2 linked regions of the Caenorhabditis elegans genome follow. The protein of the gene in region 2 interacts with the protein of the main gene of each other region in a pairwise test. Each region holds a gene or a part of one and is shown on either strand. Other genes may lie near its edges.

Region 1 (3,339 bases), 5.6 Mb from region 2:
TCAAAAATGTTGAAGAATCGAATTCGAGGAGCATAAAGAATGAAAATCTGTTTTTTTTAATTGAAAATACCATGAAATTCAGTTAATTACAGAAAGCTCCAAAAATGATTGGAAAAAATTAAGCCGCCAGATGTCAAATGCTTTAACTTTTTTCAAAGAAGAGTTGATAACAAATTGTCAATAACAAAAACAAAGAAAACGTTATGACCTATATTTTGTATGTAGAAATTTTTTTTGCAAAACCTATTAGTTTTTGACTTATTCTCTTTTGGAAATTTTGAAAAATTATCAAGTTTTCCTACCTGCGCTTTTCAAACTTCAAAAAACTATGCAACTTGTCCTTCCAGTTTCTGAATTACGTTGTTGGCAAATAAGCTACCGTAACCCTGCACTTTGTACCCAATTCTTTCAACTGCTCAATGGACCTCGGAACCATATTGTTTACAATCACAACAACCACAACAAAACCCATAAACTTTGTGAAGACAACTCGAAAGTTTCGAAAATGTGCTTTACGTGAAGCCGACATGTGGTAGCCATTTGGGATTCATTTCACCGACCAAACTTCAATTCTTTCCATCTTTTCTAGAGAACAATCAATCGTTATTTGAATTAAAATACTTTATTTTGGGGGAAAATAATTGGAAAACCATATCATAATTATTACTTCTTAGTTGACGTATTGTCCGACGATGGCTTGAATCTTTTCGTCTGAAAATAATAAAATTATTGTTTGAATTAAACAATTTGAATGCTCAAAAATCTCAGAATTTTAAAACTCACTTTGGAAGAATCCAGTGAGGATTGGGAACTCAGCGGTGATGGTAGCCTTGGCGTCATCAGAAAGAGCCTTGTATTCAGCGATGTATCCCTTGGCGAGTTCCTTAAGAGAATCAAGAGTTGGCTTATCTCCGGCGAGGTATTGTTGGTGGAGTTCACGTCCCTTGGCGATGATCTTCTTGACAAGAGCCTGAGCGGTGGCATCGAGTTTCTCGAATTTAGCGGTGAGGAGAGCCTCGAGCTTTCCAGCCTTCTCGTAAAGGGATGGAGACTTTTCCTTGAGAGCAGCCTTGAATTCTTCCTCGGTCTTGTATTCCTTGTGGTTTTGGGCGAGTTCCTTAAGAGCAGCCTTCTCCTCAGCGGTGATGGCCTTGAGGTGCTCGGCAACTTCAGCTGGGATGAGTCCCTTGTACTCGGCTGGGATGTCGTCGAAGTTCTGTGGAACCTCTGGGATTGGGGCAGAGAAGACAGCCACGGAGGCAAGGGCTACGACGAGGAAGGCGCGGATCATTACTGCAATATTTTAAATTAGGGGTGGGAAATTTTAAGGTGAAATAGAAATAGAAGGTGATATCAAAGTTAAAGAACCAGTAAACTAGAAAAAAGAAACCATTTAGCAAAGTTTCGAAGTAGAAGATGAAGCTTTGAGCTGCTTCTGCTGTGCCGATTCTGCTCCGCCAGCCGATCTTTTATACGACCTTGGATGATGTATGTTTGAACCTCGTTTCATCAACGAAATAGTGCGTTGAACCATGAGAGTTCCGATGAAATATCACGTTCCCTTCGAGACGCAGACCTCATTTTTCCCTTATTTCTATTATAAAAAACCACTTTTAGTGTAATGAAGTTTAGGAAAAAATGTTTCTTTTTTCTATTTCTATTTCGATTCCCTTTGCTGCTGCTGATTCTTCGCAACTGCTCTATCTCACTGACTCCGCCCATTTGAATTGCTCATTTTCTGAGTCTCTCAAAGGACTACACTCTCGCTAGTTGATTGTAATTCTTCTGGGGTCACCATGTGGTCCGCCTCTTTTTGTTCGACTTTAAAAGATGCTCAGAACAATGGAAATCAACACTTCAGTCTCATTTCGCTTTCTTCTTCTTCTTATTCTTCTTCTTCTTCGTCACATCCCCGATTCTCATAATCTTTCAAATTTTCAGTAATGATCCGTGCCACTATCATCCTCGCCGCTGTCGCTGCCCTCGCCTTCTCTGCTCCAGTCCCGGAGGTCCCAGAGAACTATGACGATATCCCAGCTGAATACAAGTCCCTTATCCCAGCCGAGGTCTCCGAGCATCTTAAGTCCATCACCCCAGAAGAGAAGGCTATTCTTAAGGAGGTCGCCAAGGGATACAAGGACTTCAAGAGCGAGGATGATGTGAGTCTGAAAATTGAAAACTCTAGACCAATAATCAAAATATTAAATTGCAGTTCTTGAACGCCCTCAAGGAAAAGTCTCCAACTCTCCACGAGAAGGCCTCCAAGCTCCACCAAATCGTCAAGGACAAGGTCAACGCTCTCAATGATGAGGCTAAGGCTTTCGTCAAGAAGGCTATCGCTGAAGGACGTAAGATCCACGCTCAATACTTGGCCGGAGAGAAGCCATCCCTCGACACCCTCAAGACCACCGCCAAGACGTAAGTTTCGAGAAAATTACAAATTTCTCTGTCAGGATAACATTTCAGCCACATCGAAGCCTACAAGGGACTTTCCCAAGATGCCAAGGACTCCATCGCCAAGGAATTCCCAATCCTCACCGGATTCTTCAAGAGTGAGTTTAATAAACTTCTAATAATTTTCAATTTAATAATTATATTAATTTTCAGACGAGAAGGTTCAAGCCATGGTCGGACAATACCTCAACTAAATTTCCATTTCGCATTTTCTTTTTGTTTTTAATGTAATAAGCTTAATGGTTGGTTATTGGTTTTCTATAAACTTTGAATCGCAATAAAAACTTGATGCTTTCTGTAATGACTCATTAAATCAGTAGCAGTTGGTATCTCAAACAAATGATGCCCTCACAACAGTAGCATTCGGGCCTCTAAGATAAATTACTTTTAGTGAAAGAACTGATCGGAGACAATTGGAAAGATTTAACGGAGAAAAAAGTCTGCAAAGTCGATGCTTGAGACTTGTCAATTGGCCATTTAAAAAACTTGCACAGAAGTTGCTAGAGATTGGAATTTAAAAAAAACCTAAAAATCAAAGTCCCATCTTATTGCAAGCCTGTCAAAACTTATATTGTTTCAAGTACTCAAAATCAAATAGCATCCTTTCAATTAAGAAACATAACCATATTGATTTTAGGTACTTGGGATCAAATAGCGTTATTTCAGGTTCTAAACAGAGGAATTCACTGTGCTTTAAGGCAGTTGAAGCACTATCCATAATATCTGACATCCACCATCCAACGCTGAACGAGAATAAACGTTGATGCATCTTTGTTGTAGGACCCGAACGTTGACAATCCAGCAAAGAAGAGAATTCCGCCATCCATTCGATGAAGTGTCCAGCTTGTCCAAATGTTTTAAAATGACATAATGATGAAGTTGTTG
Region 2 (3,755 bases):
GCCCGGCTACGGTAATCTCCACGATTTTTGTGACTGATGGTGACATCTTTTGCCAAGTGGAATCCAGGAAATTATGGATAGCGGCAGTGATTCCAAGTTGTTCGGCAGTTCTGGAGATTACAGCCAATACAAATGGAATTGCGAGAAGAATCAGGGCTCCATCATGACGTACAACCCAAAGAAGAGCACAAAGACCGAAAACACAACGAATTAGCCAGTCTCCAGTGATAGCTTCGTCTACTGTTGATGTGGAGAGAAGGGAATTGTCGAGAAGCGATTGTTCTGTTGCGTCCACTGAAAATTAACATTATTAGAAATTAATAGAATAAAAAATTGAATTTTTACAGATTTCTAACATTAAAAAGATGCCGGCGGTCGTTTTGTAAGCCTGCGGCACAGTTTTTGGCCATTTTTCAGAATTTTTCCTGCAAAAAATTTTAAATAACTGATTTTTAGATAAAAAGTGGCTTTAAATAAGCTATTCTAGGCGTTTAATTCAAGAAAAATAAACCAAAATCAAGAATTCTGCCTAAAAATCAAGCGTAAATCTACACAAATCTTAAAGGGACATCGACTCATTTACGCGCGTGGTTTCGCAACGCTTCGGCTTTTTTGATCGAAAAATTCAAAAATTAATGTTTTTTTTCTACATTTTTGGCACTTTTAAATAGAAAAAAAGGGTTTTAAAATGCAAAAATAATGTTTTTCACCCGAAATTGCGGTTTCCTAGAAACTCACATTTTTCTTTCGCAGTTTCCAGAACTTTCTCCACGTTTGGAGGAAGAATGGATTCATCTAGATTTTCAGAAGAATTTTCTTTCTCAAGTAATTCTTCACTTGGTCTATGACCTCCAATTAATCCGGCTGATAACATTCCCAGGACAGCAGCTGAAACTCCAAAAACACCGGCTCTCAGAGGTCCGAAATACAGGGAAGCGTAGGAAATTACGTAGATCCTGGAATTTTTAACAAGAAATTAATTCATTGTTTTCATTTTTAAACTAGGAATTTTTACCAAATGGGAAGAGAAAATGATCTTGCAAGCTTCTTATTAATCTCTTTCGGGTTTTGAACATAAATCCAGGCGGCGTAGCAGCAGAAATAAACGATAATCAGTGGAAGAACCCAGGGTCTCGCAAAGAAAACAATGAAAGAATCCAAATATCCGTAGAGTCGTCCCATCCAGCTGATAATATACATAAAAGTTCTTTCATATGAAAGAATTTTCAACGCAGTATAGGCTATAACAATTATAGCTCCATTCGGGCTGGCGAAGGTTGTGTAGATTTTTTCAGAAATTTTGGAGAATCCGGTGAACGGGAGAGTAATCACTGATTTGGCGAGAGTTTGATTCGATTTTTGAAGATTTCTTAGCCAATCTGTAAAGTTTTTAATTTATTTGAAAGATTTTGAAATTAATTTAGCCAGAAAACTTACGCTGAACAGTATCTGCGACCTTCTTTTTGAACGGGAAAAGTACTGTACCAACGAGCACCGCCCAGAGCATTGGTGATAAAAACATGTACATCATGTTGTAGAGAGCAGCCAGACCACATAATGAGACTCCGAGCTGATAATTTTTAGATTTTATTTAATTTAATTGAATTTTAAAAATTAATTTTTAAAATTTAAAGCGTACCAAAACAAAAAGTAGCACATTATAAAACGCAAATTGAAGTGCTGTTCGTTGTTCACTGTCGCCGGCGCCAAAATAGCGCTCTATGCCTTCTGAGGACATCTGAAATATTGAAATCTTATAAAAAAATTTAAATAAAATGTGTTTTCTTAGATTTTTAAAGATAAAATTACCATGACGCAACGAAAAACGAGTGATCGGCAATAAAATCGATAACGAAAACGATAAATATCACTGAAAAAAACCCGAAATAAATAAAAATTATATAGAATTCTGTCCAACTTTGTTGTTTACTCTCTTTATTGTTTTCTTTTTTCTCAAAAAAAAAATTGCGCCACGAGAGAGTGTGTGAAATGGAGAGACGCGAGAGAAAAGTGTGCATACACCGAATGCTGACCGTAGTCGCTTTGAAAATTCAATTTTTATTTTGTATCAATTTTTTTCCTGATTTTTTCTCAATTTCACATGAAATTTACCTTTACTTTTTATTTTCAGCCAAAAAAATGTTGGGAAAAACGGCGTTGAGCACATTATGTGCATCAAGACAGGCTCCGATCACATTGGCCGCCCGTGGAATCGCCAATATTCCGGCTCACGAGTATCACATTCGATTCGATCAGAAAGTCGGACGGAAACGGCCGGCGCAAGATGTTTTAGACAGGTAACGCTATTTATTAGCTTATTAAAAAATTTAATTCAATAATTATTGATTTTTTGAACTTAAAAATGCGAAACTAATTTTTAAAACTGAAAATTTTCAGATTCAAACGTCTAAACAATGGAATGTGGATTCACGCGCATCCAGGACGTCATAAGCTGAGATATATGAAAGATGAAACGTGGCAGAAGACTAGTCTTTATTATGAGACCTGTACCAAGGTACAATTTTTCGGGTTTTTTTTTCAGGAATTAGAAAGCTAAATTCATCGTCAAATTCGTCAATTTCCCCAACTTTTTCATAAAATGATTCAATTTTCAGGAACAGTGCGAAATTCTCGACAAACTGATGACTCCATATTGGCTCCGTCCAAAGCATTATCCAAATGATCCATATTCTGCCTATAACGTCCGCCATAACGTCACCTCACCACGTGTCGATGATCGTGGAAATTTCGTTCGTGAGAGGAAGAAGGTGCTGATGGATGACTCGACGTCGAAACGTTTTTTTAAAGATTGTTGAAATTTTTTTGTTGGATTTTTTTTTGTTTTTAGGAATATAAAAATAGTTTATTATTCACAATTACAAAATATTATACATGAATAACTGTTGAAACATGTTTAAACAGTAATTAAAGCTTGCAAATTAGGAAAACAATTAGAATTTAGTATCAAAAGACATTGCAACAGAATTCCGATGCTTCCCTTCTTTACTCTCATCCAGAACTTTCTGAGCTTTCCTTCTCTCTTCTTTTGTCATGAATAACATCTCAACTTCATCAATTGAATATCCTTTTGTTTCTGGAACAAAGAAGAAAACGAATACAAGAGCAACCATGGTGCATCCACAATAAATGAAGAATGTTCCATATTTTGTTGCTGCCTGGGAAAGTGACAGGAATGTCAGTGAGACTATTAAATTAAATATCCAATTGCATGCAGTTGATACCGATACGGCTGTACTTCTCGCCCATAATGGATAAAATTCGGCGTTTAGAACCCATGGTAGCGGGGCGTAACCTGGAATTACGTGAATTGATGAATTATTAAGCATTTTGAAGTTTGAAGTTTTGAAGTGCAATCGCGCTCCAACGAACTATTTGGGTCTCGGTAGGAGTTGGAGGCAAAGCCGTAAATTCGTGCCTTATCTCTCATTTTGGCCGTTTTCAGGCATTTTTTCGATAACTTTTTTGTAAAAGCTAGTTTTAAAAATGTGTGAAATGCATTGAAAAATTTGAATTTCTCGGTTTTAGCGTTGGAGCGCATTTCCACTTTATCTTCGGTCTCGACACGACAAATTTATGTTAAATGCAAAAAAGGCGTGCGCCTTTAAAGAGTACTGTAGCTTCAAATTTTTGTTGATGTGGAATTTTCAATTTTTCCATTTTTTTTGTAGTTTTTCATAGTCTTTTAATAAAAACAAATACCATCGTCGAGTAAATAATTGAGTATGAAAAATCGT

The links. The genes of interacting proteins can lie anywhere in the genome.
Region 1: the proteins of M01F1.4 (region 2) and far-2 interact in a two-hybrid assay, tested with the Caenorhabditis elegans proteins (one large-scale study listed by BioGRID).

Annotation. Positions count from the first base shown.
Region 1 is NC_003281.10:9,079,782-9,083,120, reverse strand, and holds far-2 (Fatty-acid and retinol-binding protein 2), read right to left. Parts: upstream 1,294-3,339; 5' UTR 1,292-1,293; coding exon 784-1,291; intron 712-783; coding exon 671-711; 3' UTR 610-670; downstream 1-609. Other genes in the region: far-1 (Fatty-acid and retinol-binding protein 1), read left to right, coding at 1,944-2,159, 2,213-2,418, 2,467-2,552, 2,608-2,648. UniProt on the Caenorhabditis elegans protein: Probably binds lipids.
Region 2 is NC_003281.10:3,508,106-3,511,860, forward strand, and holds the start of M01F1.4 (Transmembrane protein 245), read right to left. Parts: upstream 1,929-3,755; 5' UTR 1,813-1,928; coding exon 1,810-1,812; intron 1,739-1,809; coding exon 1,640-1,738; intron 1,571-1,639; coding exon 1,438-1,570; intron 1,380-1,437; coding exon 1,016-1,379; intron 957-1,015; coding exon 739-956; intron 295-738; coding exon 1-294. Other genes in the region: mrpl-35 (Large ribosomal subunit protein bL35m), read left to right, coding at 2,140-2,297, 2,398-2,515, 2,616-2,816; Proton myo-inositol cotransporter hmit-1.3, read right to left, coding at 2,952-3,313.